Yarrowia lipolytica: one gene and its partners. The protein of the gene in region 2 binds, or shares a complex with, the protein of the main gene of each other region. Links are inferred from orthologs where the notes say so. Each region holds a gene or a part of one and is shown on either strand. Other genes may lie near its edges. The genes, in order: YALI1_D10858g, YALI1_D04901g, YALI1_E17171g and YALI1_C10492g.

Region 1 (5,778 bases), about 600 kb from region 2:
TCGTTCAGTGGAAGTGTTTAGTCTGGCAATGTATTTACAGACACAAGTTGTTTCGCAAAGATACTGAGAATGAATAGAAACGGCAACGGCAACGGCAATGGAAACGGCGACGATATGACTTTAATACCCACACTGATACCAAAATCACTCATTTTGGCCAAGAGGAACCTGGCTGTCATGGTGGAGTCCGTCCTCTGTTGAGTACGAATACTGTCTAAGCATTTCGAGATGTATCCCACACGTGGTACATGAGCAAGATACAGAGTGGGACAAGAAGCTGATTCTCAAAAAAAAAAAAGAAAAGAAAAAGACCTGCTATTGACGGTATACTCGCTGCTACTTGTAATCTAGTCCGTCTACAAGAACAGGTCAACAATCCACAACGTTGGAACGAGAGAAGTGTGGAGTGCAAGGACATATATTCTAGTCTGTTCAGTCAATGATGACGACGGATTCTTGTAGGCCAGTGATATTTGCTTATACAAGCCAGACGAGAAAACTATCTGTTAAAAGAGCGGCATCATTATGATCAACTGATGCTGGTGAAAGTTGTAAGGAAGTCTTCTCCTAGTGATAATGCCAGAGGGGGGCGGGGGCGGGATCATGTAGAATGTCAGCGTTTGAGTGACGGGTATATATTTCGTAACAATTGAGTATCGTACTTGTACTAGGTACTAGTATCGTTACTTAATAATGCCCTTTCTACACACCTTCAAGACGCTTTCCCTCTCTCCATGCAAGTATATTCCCTTATTATTATTCACTGTATTAGTTAGATTATAGTTGAGACATTACTGATAGCATGCTACCGATAGAAAGACACCTCAACTCCACGAATAAGTGAAGAATAGAGAATATCAAAAGTGCATCTTGATTAGAATGGCTTTTATAATACACAGAGACAGAAACCAGTTAATTATCTAGGCCCCTTTACCCAGCGCTTTCCCCCCTCTCAATAACCACGTTGTCGTGTGACGATTAAGCTTCACGTGCTACACGTGAGGGAGTCATGCAGCACTCTTTCATCGTAAACATCACCATCAAAATGACCTTGGAAACCGCGGGCGGTAAGTACCAGAAGGGAGGAACGAAGTCAGGTGACACCAAGGAGGCCACGTGATCCACAACAGCCGGGATGCACCCATGCTGATCTACAGCCTCGCTACCGTACTAACGTTAGCATTATCCAGTCTCAAGACTGCCATTGAAGATGGATCTATGCCCAGCTGGGAGGAGCAGCGAGGCCATGTGCAGCAGCTGATCAAAGAGATCTGCGAGTCGTACGACCCCATCAAAGATGGCATGGTTGTAAATGCCGTGACAGGCCACCAGGAGGATGCTCAGGAACAAATCCACCGAATAGTGGGGCTCTTAGACGCACCGCAATTCAAGAGCAGTCCACCCTTCACTCTGAAGCGCATGGCCGAACTATTGACCGAGCCGTTCAAGTATTACCCTCAGAACCACCTCGCCAAGTTTCTGCGAGCTCTGGAGCGGGTAATGTTGGTGTCTTCGTCCATTGACGACTACGGCCAAGTGAGTGTGGACATTCACGATGTGCCGACGGTGGAGGACGGCGAGAAGATCAAACCGGATACGGGAATTGTGCTGACGCCGATCCCGTGGATTTCTGAGGGGGATACAACCAAGCTTGAAAAGGGAGGAGAGGAGACCGACGCCGTTACCGCCGACGAACAGGACGATGGGGTTAAGCCAGTACAGAAGGAGCAGCAGGAAGAGGGTAAGCAGCAGGAGGGCAAGAAGGAAGACAAAGAGGAAGAGGAGACCAAGGAGATATCAGAGGTACCAGCAGAGAATGTTTCTCACGAAGCTTCTAATGTGTCCGTGGAGATGGCAGATGTGTCTGGAGATAGCATTTCCGAGTCGATGACGACCCACGACGTTTCTGTGGAAATGACGGATGCGGATTTGTCGGCGGAAATGGCCACTCACGATGTACCAGATGAGGTTGCTCAGGAGATCAGACAGGTTAAGAGTGAGGAGACCCAGGGAGATTTGCTCACCACGGTAGTTGCTGACGTGACCAACATAAACCATAAGCATGGAGAGAGGAGAGAGGTGGAAGCCGATACTGCAGAGGAGGAGAAGAAGGAGCCCACGGAGCCCACACAGACTACAGAGAAGGAAGCCCCCGAGAAGGAGTCAACCTCAGAGAAGGAAACAACAAAGAAGGAACCAACAGACAAGGAGCCAACCGAGCCAACGGCACAAAATGGAACCACAACCGAAACCGAAGAAGATAGAGAGGCAAAACGACTAAAGACGGAGTAAAGGGTTGCACTTAGCGACACTCATTAGCACAGCATGGATTATTTATCATAACAGGTACCAGGTGGCAAGTGGCTGGAGGTCACGGGCATCGACGGAATTGGGTGGTAATTGTAGCAGGGAGATCAGGTCAGTGTAGGTGAGTAGTGGTTGTAGCTCGACATCCCATACACCTTTCTCCATGACGTTGAAGTATGGCTCTCGACAGTACTTGTATATCATAGAGAGTGTGGGGGCCATGTCTCACCCATATGTAGCATGCTTGATAGGGGAACTGTACAAGTACATATCCAGACTTGTCTTCATACACGAAGATGGGAATTCATACCGTGATTGCTGCGTTGCGAAGCCATGTACAAACATTCGTACTGGTACCAGTTTTGGACAAATCTGGCTTCCTATCTAGCACAGTACGATACAACACCTAGGTGCCTTCGTCTGGCCTAAAGATATAATGGGCTACACACGCTTGCGTTTGCTTGTTACTCATTTACTATATACATTACCCGAAAAGAGCCTTGAAAGCGGTCTGCTTAGCCTTGTCTTCAGGTCGGTTCCACTCCTCGGGGAACTTGGCCAGTCGGTATCGGTCTCGCTTGGCGATGCGCTCCGCCTTGTTTCGGGCGTGTCGGGTGTCCAGAGGCACGTCCTCGAACGAGTCACCTTGCTCGGCCTCGGTCTTGAGCTTGAGAATCTGAGTCAGCAGGTAGTGCTTGTTTTCGGGGGCAGAGGGGTGTCGCTTGCTGGCAAACTTGCACTGGCCGGTCAGAGCGTCGTAGTTCTGTCCAGACAGCAGCTTGAACTTGTGCAGGCCCTTGTCGGAGAGACCCAGGTTGGCAGGGTCAAAGTAGCAGACCACCTTGGCCTCTTCGTCGGCCTCCTCTCCGGTGTACGAGGTGTACTTGAAGGTCAGGGGAGAAGCCTTCTTGTCAGCCTCCTTGACATCAAAGGGCACATGATAATCGACGAGTCGGGGGAGCACGTAGGCAGACATTCGCTGGAGGTGTCGCATCTTTCGCACCTTCTCCACCTGCATGTGTCCAGCAGTGGGGATATCGTCGTACATGAACTCGTTAACGTGATCAGCATCCAAAAGATCGTCGTCCTCCTCATTCTTCTCAACGACGCTATGCTTGCCGTGGTAGGCGGATCGGATTACGCCAGCGTCGGCTCCAGCAACTCGACCAGCTCGAACCAGCTGTCGCAGTTCCTCCTCGCTCTGGGAGTAGGCCGATCCGAGCTTGAACTGTCGGTTGTGAAGACGCGTGACCACCTCATGGAACTCGAGGCCGGTCCAGTTTCTGGGGTCTAGTTCCTCGTCGCTGAATCGCTCGGGATCCAGGTTCTGCCGGGTCTTGAAGCCCAGCTCCTCAATGGTATCCAGAGCCTCCTTCGTCTTGGCGTCGAGCGTGTACTTGGCCTCAAACTGGAGCTCCTCGACTCGGTTGGTCCGGGGAAGCAGAGAGGCGTCTGCAGAGGGGATCTCGGAGGGCTCAGCAAACGGAGTGGCTGACTCAATGCGCTTGTCGGTTCGGAACGAGGGCTTGGACTGATCCGAGGGAGGAACGTCGGTCGAATCGGACATGAAACGAACATGGGTCACGGCGGAGGCCCGGCCTACAACCGTGGCTCGTGCAAACGCTCCCTGGAGCACCCTGCTTTGGTTTGCCAGTCTGAGCATGTTGTGTGATGATTATGAAAATGTTCAGTGGTGAGAAGTTAAAAAATGCAGTGAAAATGGAGGAGAAGCGGGAGGGTTTCCAGAAATGGCTGTAAGAAGGCTAGAAAGATGAAGAAAAGAGGAATCAATAGCCCATGGTTGGAAAAGTAAATCTAAGGTGTTTTATTCGCAAAAAATGACACCATATAAAGATCTTGTGTCAACTAGGAAAAACCCTACCCTGATAACTAAGCAAAACCTTCTTCATACTATAGAGCTGGACGACAATGGGAATTTGAGGAGGTTGAAGAAGAGATAGATGGGTGAAATTTAGTCGAAATATTTTCGCTGTGGCAATATATATTCTGTCAATTTTTCAAGGCTGCAGTCCTCAAACTCCCCATTTTACTGATACCCATATTCTCTCTCCGAAAAGCTAAAAAAAGTCGAGTGACCGAAATTTCACCTCAAATTTCACACACTTTGAGGCTGCAAGGATTGTATTTGGAGATATAAAGAGGTATGTGATAAATGATGGAATGGGAGCATAAATGACAAAATGAAAAAAGTAAATATATACAAAAAGACAAGCTACTTCACCTACAGCCTTTATTTCTGCGAATTTACCGCTCCTTGGCCCCCGCTCCAACCCCCCCAGGTTCCACCGGTACCACCTCTCCTACACCCAACTCAAACTAACTTTTCACTCTCACATCACCATCTACACACACCACCATGCTGAGAACGACTTCAGGACTAGCTCGGTTCTCCGCCCGTCGCGGATACGCCTCGGCGTCGCCCGCCAAGATCCTGGTGGGTCTGAACGTGCGAGCAGACCGATTTGACGGCGACCAGAAGGCCCTTGCCCAGGAGCTGGCCGTCAACTCCGATCTGGGTGAGGAGGACACAGACGCTATTGCTGCCAAGTACACGGAGCGAATCAAGGCCAACGCCGTAAAGCCCATTGCTCCCGAGACCGCCGAGGGCCATGCTCGACAGTGGATTGCTCTGTTGGACGACATCAAGGCCAAGAGCATGTCGACCGAAAAGTTTGAGGGTAAGGACGCTCTGGACATGCAAAAGTTCCGAGAGACGCTGGACAAGTACCGACAGGAGAGCACTGTTTCCGGCTTCTTCAGCGACGTTTCCGCCAACAAGGTCGACCCCATGGCGCTCATCGACCCCACTTCTGAGTCGCAGTTTGAGCAGGTCATCACCGGCAAGAACGGTAAGAAGGCTCTGTTTGTGCCCACCGAGGAGCAGGTGGCCGAGGCTGAGGCTCTCAAGACTGCGCCCATCCCCAACAAGGTCGACGGCGAGTTCGAGGCCCATCTGATCAATATGATCATGAAGCATGGCCGAAAGAACGCTGCCCGACGGCACTTTTACCAGGCTATGGAGCTCGCTCAGGTCATGATCAAGGCCGACCCCATTCCTCTGCTCAAGCAGGTCTTTGATGACGTTGCCCCCGTCTGTGTCATCAAGTCGACCCCCGTTGGTGCTCGAAAGGTCCAGTACCCCGTTCCCATCACCGAGCGACAGCGACGACGAATAGTGTGGAAGTGGTCCGTCGACAACGCCGAGAAGCGGCCCAACCGATCATTCTCGGTCCGACTCGGAGAGGAGATAGCATCCGTCATTAAGTCCAAGGGAGCGTCGCTCATGGAGAAGACCCTGGTCATCCACAACCTCGCCGTGGCCAACCGAGTCCATGCTGACCCCAGCCGACCCCGAAAGTAGAGTATTGTATATAGTTAAGGAGAGAACAGATCCCGATATCGAGGAGCTTACTCCGAGAGAATGGGCGTAAGAATGAAACACGAGATCCG
Region 2 (5,365 bases):
CGGTAGCCAAGGAGAGCAACAGTCGACGGGTCGAGGTACTGGAGGAAATCTACACGCACGTGACGCCTGTAATGAGCCAATACTTTTTTCAGAACTTTCGTTCGTCCGCCCAGGCCTGGTTCAAAGCCCGTACCAACTATGTGCGTTCAGCAGCTGCTTCTTCCATGCTTGGTTACATTCTTGGTATTGGAGATCGACATTGTAACAACATTATGATTGATTACAAGACAGGTCAATTGGTGCATATCGACTTGGGTATTTCGTTTGACCAGGGCAAGAACCTGACTGTGCCTGAAAAGGTGCCCTTTCGACTCACAAGAGACATGGTTGATGCCATGGGTAGTGTGGGAGTCGATGGGCCATTTAGGCGCTGCTGTGAATTGTCCCTGGGTCTGTTCCGAGAACAGCAGGATAACATTCTATCGATTCTCAACGTGCTTCGTTACGATCCGTTGTATTCGTGGACAATGTCCCCCAAGAAAAAACAAACAAGAAGCTCTTCGGGATCAGACTTGTCTGATATCAAGTTGGAGGAGTCCAACGTGACGGCAGACATGTGTCTGAGCGGTGTAAAGGGGAAGCTCGCAGTGAGATTGAGCACGGAGGCCGTGGTGAGAGAGCTGATTGGGGAGGCGGTGAGCGTGGAGAATCTGGCTGTGATTTTTCACGGGTGGACGCCGTTCTACTGAGTTCTCAGAGGCGAATTCAGGCGAATCCTCACTCAGGACACAATGAGAATGTACAACACTTCAGCTTGAGTACGTACTTGACCTATGGCTACTGTCCACTGTCCTACTTGAACAGTGTCGCTCACTACTTGTAGCATGTCGGAGTTGACACAGGGACATATTTGTATATAAATAACATGACATTGATGCATTAAATGTACAACGAGAGATGGTTCGGCTGTGAAATGCTTGTACTCAACAGAACCAGGCAGGCTAAATGAAGTTCGAAGGTAGAGTATCACAGAGATGATAGATGGAAGAAGTATGTGCTTGTTCATAAAGACACAGGCTCTACACAGATGGTTTCAACTTTGGAACCCCAGAATGTAGCCTAGCTAGACGTACAATAGCATCAACAGTTGCATTACGATGTACTGTATGTACTGAGGGTAGAACTCCATGAATGGCCAATAAGTTACAATGTAGAGTTCAAAATTCGACTGAAGTAAGCAAGACAATATAACCTATCACAAAGAACCCATCAAATCAACAGAGAGACTTATGGATCACTGGAAGGAGCAGCAGAGTCAAACTCGTTAACATTGTCTCCACAAGACTATCATCTGTCTCAGGGACCCATTCACTAGACCCTCAGATCGTTTTCGTTTCATAACTTGACTATATACACTTTATTTTAGTTGTTGGTAGGCTCGGGAGCATGTGAGTATGTTAATGTTCAAAAGCCTGGGTCCAGATAAATTCGCCAGGCTCATGACCTAGTGAAATCATTAGCTGCTCTCATGCTTACTTGGCACCCATATCCAACGTCATCTCCACGGCCTTCTCCTTCCAATCCTCAATTCGCTTCTGCTCATGGAACAGGTTTCGCTCCACCGACGAGGTAGAGAAGCAGGCTCCAAACATATCAGCCTCCTCGGCGGCAGTGACGTTCTGCACATCTTCAGCCATTCGCAGCTTGTAAAACTCGAATCGAGCCTTGTCGTAGGCCTCCAGAAGAGCCTTCTGGTCGTGGGTCTTCTTCTCACCCAGAAGATAAATGGTTCGCTGAACCACAGACTCACCGTCGAGCTTCTTGTTGGCCTGGTACATCTTGGACCAGTCCTGGGTCACGTGATCGTCACCGCTGTTCTCCACAATCAGCTTGGGTCGCGCCAGCTCCCAGGGATGCTGCTTGTAGAAAATCTCTCGGATCTCATCCTCCATGAACTTGAGGTGCACGGGCTCATACAGATGCCGGGTTCGCACCCGCACCGGCTTGGACCGCGTCTTGATAAACTCGTTGAGCTTTTCAGACTCCCGCTGGGCGATTCGGGCCAGCTTCTCAAAATGGGGTTTGTGCTGGTAGACAGTGGTGGGCATGTTGGCAGCCATGGCCCGGTACCAGATGGGCTCGTGGGAGAGCATGCCGGAGGCAATTCGGCCACTGGTAATATGCACAATATCCACGGCGGCGGTCTTGATTCGTTGCGACATGGTGTGTGGGGATACAAGTGTGTTGTTTCACAGATGTGAATGTGAGATGTTGTGGGATCATGCTTTTTTCACTGAAAAAGTTTATCAGGAGGAAGAGATATTGGGTATGGGAATAGAATGGGGGTATGGCGGAGATGAGGAGAAAATGGATAATCGAATATTACTCAGTAACACTAGTTTAATGAGAAGCTCTTTTTTGGTTGTAGGAATTCCCCTTCAGATAGCCACAGTGCGCACCCTCCCCTCTTTCTATAGGTTATGAGCGAAAACAACTATAAGTCATTGCTGGGAGATGTGTGGGAGGGTGATTCGGAGGTGGAGCATGATGTGTATGGAGAAGGAAAAAGATTCCGCGGATTTTTCGGGTGTATTATAACTGAAGAAACTATTATTGAATCAGTATATATCCCAAGATCCTTCTGTATATGGACAACTTGTACACATATCCGCAGTATGTGTGCCTGAACTTTGTATGGCTAACAAAAGATGTATACAGTCTTAAACGCTGTTGGAAGTAGATGAAAGTACCATCGGTCGGTATTTATGACATCTTCTTGTCAACAAAACTTCTACAATCTCTTTAACTTGTCTAATACCCCTACAACAGTGCTATCTAATGCTCTCATCCTACTAAGTTTTACACCAACTAATATCCAAAGTTAGTTGACTGGGAAATTACGCGATCAACAAAATGACTGTCTTTCTCTCGCCTTCAATATTCACCCTAGAGGTTTAAATTTTGAACCAGGCACATCTGCGATACTTGAATCATATAATACGTCAAATTTGTGCAATAACACTCCATCTGACACCAGACCAAACACCCTTTGACCTTCCCCAGATTTTTTTAAACTTCTCCATCCTGCAACTATTTTCTGATCTCAATATCACCATTCAACAATGCACAAAAGGGCCGTTAGAACGGTGCTCCGAGCCAGTTCAGCTCGCGTGACTCCCACCCGTGCTATTTCCACTCTCATGGAATCGAAAATCCGCCAACTCCGCCCGTTCGACGTACCTTCTGTGTCTCAATCTCAGCCACCCCCACGCAAGGGGCGCAACACTGATCCAGAGAGTCTTAACTACTACGAGACCCGCCAGCTGCGGTACATGGTGCCACGGAAGCGTATCAACAAATCTGTCTACGCCTCCATCACCAAGGCGCTCTATTCGAAAGAAATCAACATCGACGACATCTACAACCTGTATCTGAACCTGCCCACACCCAGACCGCTTCATCTGCAACATGCTGAGTTGGAACAACTGCTGGATCTGATCATATCGCCGGCTCTGCGTGATAAACACACCATCAAGCGGTTGTTGACTATCAGTGAAGACATGCGCGAATGTAAAATCCCGTTATCTATCAAGGAAGTCAACACCTTGGTGTACCTCGTGCTGAGAGACAAAAACTGGCAGACTCAATACAACCCGGCAAAGCCAGCGCCCCCGAGTTCGGCAGACATGGAATACATGATGCAGCTGCTCTCAGGAAACGTCGAATGGCCTGTTTCTACCTTCAATATCGCCTTGGTGATTTGCAAGGGAGATAATAAGGCATTTCAGGAGCTGCTGGACAAAATGGAGCAAAAGGGAGTGCAATGGGACGCCACTACAGTACAGACAGTGTTCAGACAGCGACTAAGGGCTGGTGAGGACACTCTGGAGACCTTCTACAGTCTTTATTCAGGCAGAGACACGGGACCCCAAGATGTCAACATTCTGATATGGGGGTTACTGCGAAGTGGTGAAGGAGGATACGACAAGGCTGTGGCTGTGATTTCGCATCTTGCCCAGTTCTCCACCAGCGAGATCAACAATGCTGTTCGTCAGAACAAGAGTGCTTTCAAAGCTGCGAAGTTCGAGAGGAAGACGGCCCGGAAGAAGAATGCCAAGACTACCACATACAAGCACATGAGCTCTATAGGTGACATTCCTCCGACAACCATGACTCCCGAAACGTTTTCCATGCTCCTCCATCACCACAAATCCTTCTCAGAGTGCACCAGAGTGCTCAAAATGGCCCAGATGTACTTTGGAGAAGTGCCCACAATGTGTCTCCAAGACATGTACCAAGGGTTTGAGAAGCATGAGACGTGGACGGGCGATGATCTCATTTATCTGACCGAGTACGTGCTTAAAACGAAGCCTGACAATGCCATTTTCACTCTAGAGCTATTCATGGCGGCTCTGAAGGCGTACAAGGCGACCGGGGTGATCGATGCTCGAGGAGGAACTGCGTTGATTTCCGAGGCCAACTGCCTGGAGGCCGTGCGACTGGCAAGGACGGACGAGGAGAAGCAGGCGTACATTTTTATTTATTTTAGACGGTTGCATGTTCAAAAACACCAGGGGCTTGGAGGCGGAGAGCTGAAGCCGCCCATCAGCATGGTCCAGGAGTGGATGGACGTGTTTCTGGACAAGTCGCGGTATGCCAGAGAGATGGCTGCTCCTAAGGAGATGCAGGAGGAGAAGGTGGAACAGCCTACACGGACAGCATGGTCGAAACTGGAGGAAGCGGACTTTTACATTGAAGCTGAGATGGAAACTAGGGTTGAGGAGGACCTTCAAATTGGAGATGAGTCTACCAAGGACGCAAATGAATCGACAAAATAAAAGGCCTTGTAGACGACTGTCAAATCGATGAGGAACTTCTTGAAAGGGGACGTCAGGAGGCGAGTGAAACTGGACGAGAAGAACCCCCAACATGAAGGGAGGAAAGCAGGCCCCAAGTGATGACAAAAATACTTTTATATCGGAAAGGTCCGATGACAATAGATTGCATTTTTTACTTCTCTGGAGGAGGGGAGTAGATGGAAAGATGAACGCGCGTGTGTGTATATGTAAACATGTGAATGGGGGTAGCAACATCAAACCAGTTCCACATTTGTAAGGTTTTTCTAAATTGCAATTTGTTTGTTAAGCCAAACGCTTTTTTGAGAAATTGACTGGACTTAGATATATGAAACTACCCGTACTTATACGAGTCCACACAGTATGTGCTTGTAGAATAGTATGTACCGAACGATGTGGATACCCAATACTCCATCCTTGGGATCTTCATTGTACAGTTGTCTGCTCGTTTTTTACTTGGCAACTCTTAACCACTAGTTAACTATTGATGGAGTAAACTTGAAGATATTAGTGGAAAACATAGATTTACAATCCTCGTTTTCTTCACCAATAATTGTCTAATCCTTTAT
Region 3 (5,484 bases), on a different chromosome or scaffold from region 2:
ACTCCAGCAGCTCAATCTCCTTCTGTCTATGGGCCTTGTTGACGTCAAGAATGAACTGGCGCGCCAGCAGGGTGTAGCAGTCGGGCAAGTACTGCGAGATACCGTGACTCTTGTAAAAACCGTTGGCTTGAGGAGAGGCAGTGATGACGGTTCCCTTATCGGGGACACTGCCGAGCAGCTTGGCCTTGAATTCGGGGTGCATGTTGAAGTAGCCAGCGGTGAAGGTCCATGAAGATCGCTGCATGGACAGCATGGAGAGAAGACGTCCCAGAGTAGGGAACTCGGTGGAGGAATCGGGTTTAAGAAGGGGAGTGAATTGCGAGATGGGGAATACGAGAGTCTGGGGCTCGGTGGACTCTGACTCGTTCTTAGCCTCCTCGAGTTCAGTTTCTCTTTGGGCTAGAGACTTGACCTTTCGTCGGCCGCTCTCGACAGGTTTACTGGTGATGAGAGGAGCAATAGAGGCGGTAGCCTGACGCTGGAACTCGGCAAGAGACACATTGGGGCTTTGCAGAGTGTTGTTGTTGGGCCATTCCAGCACAAAGCCGGGGTCCTTGACCGGTTCGGGTTCGGGAAGAATCTTCTTGGCAATAGAAGCAGCCTGCTTTTTGAAGAAGACAGCCATTTTTCCGGGCTCGGGGGCCTTCTCGGCGGGTTTGGGGAGGGCCACTCTCCAGCTGAGTCTGCACACAGCGTTGTGGATGGCGTGGTAGTAGTCGACAATAGGCCGAGACTTGAACACAAAGTATCGATCCTGTCGGTTGGTAAAGTAGTCTCTGGACAGGTTGGCTCCCGACAGAATGATATCGTCGTCGCAACCATACAATTTCATGTGTTGTAGGCCCCAGCCTTCGTTGAATCGCTTGGGGATCAGCTGTTTCTTGAGTCCAAACAGGTGTGGGGTGATGTAGCATCTGATATCGACCCGATCTCCGTGTTTGTGGAGCAGGGAGGCCAGAAGAGAGGCCGAGCACGTTTCGGGCTCCTCGCGGGTTCCTCTCAGGCCGTCAATGAGCACGGAGACCTTGAGACCGGGGTTTTTCGTCAGAGCCTCGTCCAAGCAGCTAACTAGTTCCGTCTCCTCCTTGCCAACGTAAAGAGTGGAGAGGAACACACGCTCCTTCGCCGCCAGGATTTTCTGCTTGAGCTGGTCGTAGAACTCTTCGGGATCGTACAGAACCTGGATCTGGCCCTTGTCCACGGCAAACTTGGGCACTGTGGCTTCAATCTGCTTGAGAGTGATGTTGACGTTACTGTGGAGACCAGAGAGTCCTCGGGATCCGCCGGTGAGTCGCATGGCTCGCGAAGTTCGGGCACTCACCACGCCTGCTCGTCGAGCTGAGCATACCAATCCAGCCAATCGGGCGTTTCGAAACATGTGTTCTGCTGTTTTCACAAGTACGATACTGTTGGTCGGGGTCGTTAGTCGGGATATTTCAAAACTGCTGAAGTTTATCCATACATGCGGAGATTAGTATGGGGTAGGAGGAGTGTAGCTGATATTGAAGGCAAAAGACATTTTGACCGAGCAATCAAGTGACTATGCACTTGAGATCAGATTGTTCAAAAAAGCAATACTGTGCGGTCATTGTTGGCCATTGTTTGTTCGTCATACTTGCCTTATTGTATCCGAGCGTTGCGGCTCATCAACATACCAGTACAGGCTACAGCATCGCTCAAACACCAACTATGAATACTATTCCTATGTACAATGCACCCGTTTAGACTCGTCGTCGTCCAGGAGGTCGGGTACCTCCCTGGTTGAGCTTGGTTCGGTCAGACAGACGGTCGACCTTGGAGGCCACCTTCTCTCCCTCAGGGGCAGTGAGAGCGGCAAAGAAACCCTCTCGGCCTCGTCCAAAGCCTCGGACAACAACCTCGACGGGTCGGGTCAGCATGCCCTTCTTCTCGAGCAGCTCAAAGGCTCGGACACTGGTCTGGAAGGCTCCGTCGTACTCTCCTCGCTCCTTCTTCTTAATGCCGAGATGTCCGCAAGAAATGTGGAATCGCACCTCCTGGGGGGCTCGCACCTTCTGCAGCAGCTTCTCGTCAATGCTCTCGGGAATGAAGGACTTGTCAACAAACTCGTCGGTAGCGCAGATGTGCAAGTTGTTCTTGGTAGCGGTCACATGGACGTAGTGTCGCACCACCTCCTTACCCTTGGCGCTCTGGTCGATCTGTCTCTGGGTCTCTCGGGCCTTGTTCAGCTCCTCGGCGTCCGTCTTAGGGATCTTGCTGATTTCCTTTTGCACTGTGTTAGTACGATCCGGAGTCGTTCCATCTTGGTCAGATCCTCAAATCAGCCTGCTCGCAAGCGCTCAACTCACGGTTCATGAAACTGGCGAGGCCAGAATTGTGTCGAACACCTCCGATGGCGCCCGTGGCGACTCGGGTCCGCAGCATCTGAAACCCTTGCATTTTTGTGTTAGTGATGACGCTGTGGTGGTGGATATGCGTAACCTTGACAAATTTGATTTTCCACCCGGCACGTGATGCACTTAGTCAGTGGGAGGAGTGTGCGGTGATAAAACCAAAACAAATTGGATAAAACCGCCATAAATATATAGAAAATTAAAAGAAAGAAAAAAGCCATTCTAATTGACTGTGTATTAAAGAGGGGAACCATTTATTTTGCAATCGCCTATCCACACAAATCAGCTAAATCAACTAAATTAACTAATCAAAGTCTCTCATACATACTGAAGACCACAGTTCAAGCTTGAAATGGTGACGAGACGCTGAACACTTGAAAAAAGTACATACTGAAAAAGGGTTGGAGTAAAGTAAGTAAAGGCAACCCTCGACTGTTCCCTCGACTGTTCCCCTCGACTGTTCCCCTCGACTGTTCCCTCGACTGTTCCCTCTCTGGCTCCTCTCTCTGTTGGTGTTCCATCTCATCTAACCCATAGTTTCAGCTCACGATATGACCTCAGTTGTACTGGTACAGTATGTACATACATATACGTACTTGTAGAGAATGTACATGCTCATCATACTCTGATACGTTTGAAACTCCATACCTATATAACCAACGTCAATTCGCTACTTGTACGGAGTGGTAAATGAACTACTTGCTCCTTGTTCCTGCTTCACTTATGTGGCTGTCATACCATACCATTCTCACAAAAAACTTCCAGCAAAAAAGTCGTACTTGTGCTTACTGGACTCTGCTGTTGGAAACAATCGTTGGAGGTTAATTATATTTTCACACGAAGACTAATATTGCTGACGAGCAACGTCCCCTCGTAATAGCTACAGTGTTGGCCAAAAGCCAAATGGATAGAGTATATGGGGATCCGAGGGGCCCAGGGAACCGCCTTAGTTGTCACCGGGTGGCCTCTGCACCGCAATTAGCCGCCAGTCGCGTGGCTCGCCTAAAAAAGATGTATTTAGACCGGGATCCAGCGATGGAGTTAGACGCACCCACGTGGATTGCGTACGCTTATCGCTATGCAAGGGAGCAACAGAGAAAGAGTGTGGCCTACTTTGGAGGAGAGCGTGTGAAAAATTGACACACACGACACAAAGTACAGTCACTCTGCACATTGCCATTCAGCCCGAATCATGACGCAACAGGAACGAGAAGCCACCCGAGCCATCCGCACCACCAAGGCGCCCTACAAGCCGTGGATTAGCTCGCCCAACGTGGGTCTGTCTTTTGCCTACCACCTGATTGGCTTCATCTCATTCGCCTCGTCGTTCCACTTTCTGGAACAGTACCCCAACCCGCTCAATGCCTCGTACGGAGGAAAGTACCAGTACCTGACCATTCTGGGTCTGTGCGGCAGCTACCTAGCGTTCTTGCTTGCTCTGCTGGCCGACGCAGCCTCGCTCTACTCCAAGGACTTCAGCAATCTGCTTTACCAGCTCAAAAACTCCGTGTCGGTGGCTGTGACGCCCCTCGAGTGCGTCATCACCGTGCTCTACTGGTCCCTCAAGCTCTACGACCCCAAGCTGCTCAAACACCCCGCCGTCAAGGAACAGATTCCGTTGTGGCTCGACATGTCCATCCACCTGGTCCCTGCCGTCGCCCTTTTCCTGGACGTGGTACTCATGGGCCAGCCCTGGAACCTGACCACCGTCCAGGCCGTAGTTGCCAACTTTGGTCTGTCGGCAGCATACTGGTTCTGGGTCCACAAGACCGCCTCCGTCAACAACTTCTTCCCCTACCCCTTCCTCGGCCTCGTGAGCACCGAGGTCCGAGTTGGCGTCTTCATTGGAGCCGGGGTTATTGGCTACATTAGCTATATCATCATCCGGGGTCTGCAGTCGACTTTTGCCCGATCTCCCCTCGACCAGCTCAAGGGCAAAAAGAGCATCTAATCAGTCTTAGTGCTTGTAAATAGAATATAGAAACGAAGAGTATCAAACCAAGAGGGGTAGGGGCTACGAGTAGCCAATTAGTACAGTATAACAAAATACTCGTACAAATACAATTCAATGCGATTAAGAGTTATGTAAGTATGCAATAAATAGTGGGGTGGTCAACGTTCCGACCAAATGTACTCGACAAAGGCCATGACATCTTCACACCGAAGACTCACCTGAGCAGTGCTGTTTCCAAGACTCAGAGGCGCAAAATAGATCTTGTTGGTGGCCCGATCAATCATGGCAATGGCATCAAGCAACATGCGTCCTCCTCCCATGGGATGAAGTGCCCGAAAAGCTCGCGCAAGGGCAACTGTATGGTCACAGATGAGGGGAATAGAATAGTCGTTCTGTGTAGCATGGGCGTCGGTAGTCACGGCAACTACAGTAGCACCTAGCTGTGTTTGTAGAACCGCCCAACACTTTTCCAGCTGCTGTCGGATATTGGGCTCCATCTGGTCGTCCAGGAAGAACAGAAAGCCGAGCTCACTGGAAATGTCCCGTAGCTTGAGTATTGTCGTATCGCTGTCCATCACATCGCTATGTGGACCAAAATACCCTACTTCGCATTCAAATGTAAGAGGAACCTGTCGAATGCTGTATACCGACCCTTGACTGATATACCGAGGGATCTGGGTGATGCAAGCATGGGTCCGTCGCTGGCTGTGGCCCTTCAGACGCTTTGTGATCTCCTTGACGTTTTCTCCCGAGAGAACAACCTCATCCTCCTCAACTTCGTCTCGAACTCGTCGTCGTGGAGTCGGTGTGGCGGTCCCGCTACAGCTCTTGCGAGTAGGTGTGCGAGGCTGTCTTGGTATGATGTTCATGTTGTTGGATGTGTGTGTGTGTCTGAGTCTGTGTGTGTGGATGCAGAGTATTTAAATGATTGCTTTGTGCACGTCTTGTTCTTCTTTTTTCTCTCCCGACTCTTTGTGTTTGACCCCTCACTGTTTGTTTTAGTCACCGGTGATCCAGGGTCCAGACTAGTTCTCACCTCCCCTCCCAGGATCACCTTGGTACTTAAGCATGCAACCTCGAGGATGTCTATTCTTTGTTTGTGAATTGCCCGTTTCGGTAATTTCAAAACAACCCTAACCCTGTCCCCACAGTCCATCA
Region 4 (5,310 bases), on a different chromosome or scaffold from region 2:
TCGTGAGCGGAGATGAGAGGATAAGCACTAAATCAGTAGAAAATGCATGGGTAAGTTGATTCCTCGAATAATTCCCGCAATAATTTGCATCAAAGGTGATAATTGAGATGGTATCTTAGCCCAGTCCCGGACAACTACCATCTTTAAAGTAACCTAATTTAGGTATCAACAAATTTATAAATATCAAAAAAAACACATGCTAAAGGTTCTCAACTAAAAATCTAACAAATCCCAAATACTGCAAGCATTCTTTTTCATCGTTGTCTTCAAATAAATACGTACCGATCCTTGGTAACCAATCCTTCTTTCGTAATCACTCCTTCATTTTAGCAACCACAACCCGCACTTGCACTCCCACACTTTCTGTCGAGTCCCGCTCAACCTTCAACCGCTGCTCAAGCATCTCAAAGAATTCAGATTCCTGCTCGTTACGCATCTTGTGTCCAATAACCACCTTTGCTGAGGGGTTTGCCTTTAAAAGACGTTCCAAGCAAGCAACCAAAGTCTCGTACATGTCCATATTGTACGTGCAATCAGCCACAATAATGAGATCAAGATTGGTCAACTGAGAAACATCCTCATCAGCCCAATCAAGAGCCATAAACGAGGCAGACGAATTGTTCAGCGCGATACTCTCCTCGGCACACTCTCGAGCCTCCTCCAGATCAGACAAAATCAAACTTCCCTGACCTCCCAGATGCTTTTCCACCGCTAACCCAACAATTCCACATCCTGCACCTAGCTCCAAAATGCCCACCTGCTGGCTGGAATCTTTACCGGTGATCTGCTCATAGATTCGCTCCTTGGTAAGCGTATGAGCCAGAGTGACGCCTGCGTCCCACACGTGACGAGCTATACTGTTTCCTGTGTCTTCCTTAATGGTGAGAGGAATGGAGTCGAATTTTCGAATCGACTTGGCAGGGAACTTGCCATTGACGGCCTGGGCGTAAAGATCGAGGAACCGAGCGGGCTGGTCTGGAAAGAGGTCATCGCGCGATGACAGCACTGTGGCTCGAAAAATAGGTCCGGGAGCTGTTATGACAGTCACGGATCTGTCTCCTGGAGACCATGTCACTTTGCTTCTCCTCTTTCCCACCTCAATGCCAATCTCAGCTGATCCGTGGAACAGGGCGTCACCCAGGTCGTTGCTGAGCGAGAGTACGCTTTTGTATCCCTCTTTTGTCGCCGTGGGGACTTTGAGGAACTTGATATGGTAGAGCATGTGGAGATGAAATAAATTTTAGACGTCATTGTTAAGAGTAGATAGTGAACTTAATTTGAAAAGTCGGAGGGTGTAGAATGAAAGTGAGAGGGGCTAGAGACAGGATATTACACACATGTGATGAGCAGCGATAGCTCATGCGCCTTCTTTTATCTTTTTTCAAATCTCTTCTTTCGGACTTGGAGGTATCGTGTTACCTGCAGTGTACTTACAACGATCTGAGTGGTTCGCTCGCGTCTTCACAATTGTTTGAAACGGATACAATATGAATCTGAGAGTCCAACGGGGACTGTCCTAGGCATGATTTACTTAGTTTGCTAAATCAGAAGCTTTCAGCAGCTCGCATTCTTTTTGTCGCTACACCTCCTTCTTCCATCAGTATATACATTTTATTATTTACAACTCTGGTCGTCTTCACCGAAAACGTCATTATCATCCCCGCTCACCGTCTCAGGGCCTTGGCAAGGATGTTTCGCTTCTGAGAAAAGCCCTTGCCAGAGAAACCCAGCTCCTGGAGCATCTCCTCGGCCTTGGCAGGCTCGTTTTGAAGCATGTGGGTGGCCTGGACCAGGCTATGGGTCTTGGAAAACTCGTTTCGCAGCACCTCCAGAGAGAGGTTGGCGATGGGCTTGTTCGGGGGCCACGAATCAATGCCGTAGTGCTGTTTGATCTGCTTGACCTGGTCCTCGTGAGCCTGATCTCGGGGACCCTTCCACTCGTACTCAGCGACCTGTCGCAGCTGCTCCAGCACAGACAGAGCTGAGACCTCCTCTCCCTGCTCCTTGTCCTGGTTGAACTGCATGGTTCGCTTCTTGTTGTCTTCCTCGACAAGGCCGGGGGCTGCCTTCTGGTACGCGAGCCACTCCTGACCCTGAGCGGATTTGATTTCTGCAACAGCAAAGTGCTTGGTCTTGGAAATGGGTCGGCACTGCTCGATTCGAACCACATCACCCTCCTGGCAGGCCATCATCTCGTCGTGGGTGTAAAAGTCTCGGTGGAAGTTGATCTCCTTGAGAATGGCGGGCATGTACTTTCGACGGGTGACTCGCACCTTGATGGACTTGGAGCCCTTAGGACCGAGTCGGGTCACCACGCCGACAAAGCTCTGTCGGCCTCGCGCGTGGGAAAATGCTGTGCTCATTGTAGTGTGGAAATGTCGTGGTGACAGTACCTTGAGACGGGTTTGTAAAGGATGAAATTTCACTTGCAGGGAGGGTCGTGGGTTCGATTTGGGGTGGTGCCAAATAACGTTGGTGCAATGTCGCCAGTTCGAATTGGGATAAGGGTAGATTAAGGGGAGATGTGGCAGGGTCCGAACCGGCAATTGTTTCTAATTGGTAGATTAAGAAAACGCTTCTTAGCATACTCGCATGTTAAATATGTGATCCACTTGTTCGGCAGACACATTATGGACTCGTTGTTGTAGTTTTGTTTTCAACTAATAATGTAACTGTAATAACAGTAACTCCCAACTAGACACTTGAGGAAATGACACAGCCGACACTCCCTCCATCTTCATCAATAACCATTCGATTGCAATTTGAAAACTTTTGTATCCCTCTACGCACCGTCCATTCATCACTGGGTAGGCGGTTTTAGTCCCTCACGACACACAGGACACACCTTGGAAGCCGTCACACATGGCCATCAACTGTAAACTCTATGCAGCAGCTCTAAGGCAGCATGCAAGCATCGTAGGTACGAAATGGCAAGACGATCTGGCTCTCTCAAGTTGTACCCACACACCTACGGCCATGAAAATTGAAGAGATCTTCGATGATGAAACGACAACCAAACCCCAGCTAAAACCCGGGCACACCACAGCACAGGTCAGATCGGACAAGGACATTGAAATGGAGATAGACGACGATATCCAGAAGAAGGTGCAGAACCTGAAGGTGGAAGATCTGGAGGATCTAGAGAAGACAGCGGTGCCCACGGCAAAGGAATCGATGGCGCTAGATGCTGTATTGAAGGACGCAGAAAACCTGGCCGAAATCGGTGTTATGGACAACAAGATCAACGTTACAGCAATCTGCCAGTACCAGTTCGGTCCCGAGGTGGATCCCGACATCAAACGGTACTATTTGACATCTGCCAAGGGGGACGAAGATTCGGAGGAGGGTAATTGCCACAAGAAGCGCAAGTCTGTGCCCGACTTCCGTCCATCTGCTGTGACTATCTTGTTATCAGTACTGAACCTGATCCAGATGAGAGCCAATGCTACAGTCCACAACAAGGACATTATTTCCATCAGTTTGAACGACATGAAAACGGTGCACAAGATTCTGAACATGGTGGTTGTTGAGGGTCTATATGGAGGTCTGGACCCTTCTCTACGGTCTGACTTGGAGAAACGAACACGATTACGTCCTTCTACGACAGAGCAAGACCCGATCTTGGCAGAAATCACATACAATGGCATTTCTGAACTCATCAACGACGGTGGAGATGTGGGAGGACTTATTCTAAGAGCAGGGTACTATGGAGATGTGTTTTTGTTGGCGTCAACGCTCAAGAGGGCTGACTTTATGGACAAGATTGATACGTACCAGCTGTACAGTATTCTGACTAGATTGGCCAAGAACCATCCGTTGGTCACTTCTACACTGTCGACTCTTCCCATGCGACCAGATGGAGTCGCTTCTTTCATTGACTTTGTGCTTACCTCAGGAGATAGCAGTAAGAACCTGCTGATGGAGAAGGTGGTTCAGGTGCTGACGGCTGTTCCAAAGGGTGTTCCTCCCCGAGACTTCTTCCAGTCCGTCTTTGGGCAAATTCGACACATTTTGACGTTGGCCTCAGATACGGACTCGTCCAAATTTGTGGTCGACTTTGTCGCAAAGTTGTACGACATGCCCAAGTTCCACAAAATCGTGCAGTTTGAGATCAACAACCATGTTCTCAATGTGTTTAGACCATCGCGGGAAAAGATTGATTCTGTGGAACTCAACCACGTGGTTATTTCTTCCAAACAGCTCGAGCAGGCTCTCGTTACTCTCTACAACCTCCTTCGAGTGGAACAACCCACGACAGACATCATGGACAAGATCAGCACCAACCTGTGGTACTATGCATACTCGGAACACAAACAGAAGTTGCAACCGCGAATGTACCGTTTCCTTGCCGAGTATATCAGCAAGCAGCGACTTGTGACTGTCGATAACACTCTCAGACAGATCTACAACAACCTCGGACAGACTGGAATCTACCAGACAGACTTTCACGCAGACGGGGACGGTCGATTGGAGCTCCGGCGAGTCTCAGAGGCTTCTACTTCACCCATGTCTATTCTGTCGGAGGTTGATGATCGGGTGAGTTTGTTTGTGCGCCTTCTAGGAGAGGCAAAAAACCCTCAGGTGGTGTCTAACATGTTCACTGAGACTCTGGTGAGATACCTGGAGCATTCTCAGACTGATGAGGGAGATCCTATTGGCCAGCTGATCAATGCGAAGCTCATGGAGGGTTTGATGATGGGTCACAAGGGTCTGATTGCCAAGAGTCCTGAAAAGATTGTCGAGCTAGTCATCAAGCTGCTAGAGGGATACGAGAAACAGAAGGCTCCAGTCTATGATGATTCAGACGACGATATGGCAGATTCGGATGATGAGATGGAGGGAGAGGAAAGCATGGTCAAGTCGTCTCTTGACATTCTTGCGGCTTTAGCTCTGGAAGATGCAAACGTCTCGGACGCCATTCCTGTGGTGGAACAGCTCATGAAGCGAGATCCTTCGTTACAACAGACTTGCCAAACATTCCTGGACTCTGTTAAACAGTCTCATATCTCTGAGTTCTCCATGAAACAGGTTATGGATATGCTTGACGATTCTATGATCCCTATCAGAGCGCAGGGTCTGCAGAAACTCATCTGGGCCATCAAGAGCAATCACGTAACTCTTGCACAAGTGATGCCTATTCTTTTGAAAAACTTGGCTGATGATGACTCGTATATATACCTGAACTGTGTTAAGATGGTTGAGATTTGCATTGAAAGGTATCCTGATGGATTGGAGACCTTTGCCGGCATTTACACGGACAAGAAGATGGCTGAAGGAGTGCGTCTCAAGCTGGGAGAAGGATTGGCCAAG

Evidence for each region.
Region 1: YALI1_D04901g (region 2) and YALI1_D10858g share a complex: the UniProt entries of both Saccharomyces cerevisiae proteins name them as parts of the mitochondrial small ribosomal subunit. The link is inferred for Yarrowia lipolytica from reciprocal best matches to the Saccharomyces cerevisiae genes RSM25 and RSM24.
Region 3: YALI1_D04901g (region 2) and YALI1_E17171g share a complex: the UniProt entries of both Saccharomyces cerevisiae proteins name them as parts of the mitochondrial small ribosomal subunit. The link is inferred for Yarrowia lipolytica from reciprocal best matches to the Saccharomyces cerevisiae genes RSM25 and MRPS18.
Region 4: YALI1_D04901g (region 2) and YALI1_C10492g share a complex: the UniProt entries of both Saccharomyces cerevisiae proteins name them as parts of the mitochondrial small ribosomal subunit. The link is inferred for Yarrowia lipolytica from reciprocal best matches to the Saccharomyces cerevisiae genes RSM25 and MRPS17.

The regions. Positions count from the first base shown.
Region 1 is NC_090773.1:1,081,914-1,087,691, forward strand, and holds YALI1_D10858g (mitochondrial 37S ribosomal protein mS35), read right to left. Parts: upstream 3,971-5,778; coding exon 2,792-3,970; downstream 1-2,791. Other genes in the region: YALI1_D10829g (uncharacterized protein), read left to right, coding at 1,010-1,067, 1,181-2,292; YALI1_D10865g (mitochondrial 37S ribosomal protein uS7m), read left to right, coding at 4,685-5,689. UniProt on the Saccharomyces cerevisiae protein: Component of the mitochondrial ribosome (mitoribosome), a dedicated translation machinery responsible for the synthesis of mitochondrial genome-encoded proteins, including at least some of the essential transmembrane subunits of the mitochondrial respiratory chain.
Region 2 is NC_090773.1:487,988-493,352, forward strand, and holds YALI1_D04901g (mitochondrial 37S ribosomal protein mS23), read right to left. Parts: upstream 2,163-5,365; coding exon 1,473-2,162; downstream 1-1,472. Other genes in the region: YALI1_D04814g (uncharacterized protein), read left to right, coding at 1-689; YALI1_D04910g (uncharacterized protein), read left to right, coding at 3,063-4,778. UniProt on the Saccharomyces cerevisiae protein: Component of the mitochondrial ribosome (mitoribosome), a dedicated translation machinery responsible for the synthesis of mitochondrial genome-encoded proteins, including at least some of the essential transmembrane subunits of the mitochondrial respiratory chain.
Region 3 is NC_090774.1:1,714,895-1,720,378, forward strand, and holds YALI1_E17171g (mitochondrial 37S ribosomal protein uS11m), read right to left. Parts: upstream 2,419-5,484; coding exon 2,328-2,418; intron 2,252-2,327; coding exon 1,722-2,251; downstream 1-1,721. Other genes in the region: YALI1_E17162g (uncharacterized protein), read right to left, coding at 1-1,378; YALI1_E17184g (uncharacterized protein), read left to right, coding at 3,565-4,323; YALI1_E17201g (uncharacterized protein), read right to left, coding at 4,485-5,195. UniProt on the Saccharomyces cerevisiae protein: Component of the mitochondrial ribosome (mitoribosome), a dedicated translation machinery responsible for the synthesis of mitochondrial genome-encoded proteins, including at least some of the essential transmembrane subunits of the mitochondrial respiratory chain.
Region 4 is NC_090772.1:1,046,876-1,052,185, forward strand, and holds YALI1_C10492g (mitochondrial 37S ribosomal protein uS17m), read right to left. Parts: upstream 2,364-5,310; coding exon 1,665-2,363; downstream 1-1,664. Other genes in the region: YALI1_C10480g (uncharacterized protein), read right to left, coding at 314-1,222; YALI1_C10497g (uncharacterized protein), read left to right, coding at 2,863-5,310. UniProt on the Saccharomyces cerevisiae protein: Component of the mitochondrial ribosome (mitoribosome), a dedicated translation machinery responsible for the synthesis of mitochondrial genome-encoded proteins, including at least some of the essential transmembrane subunits of the mitochondrial respiratory chain.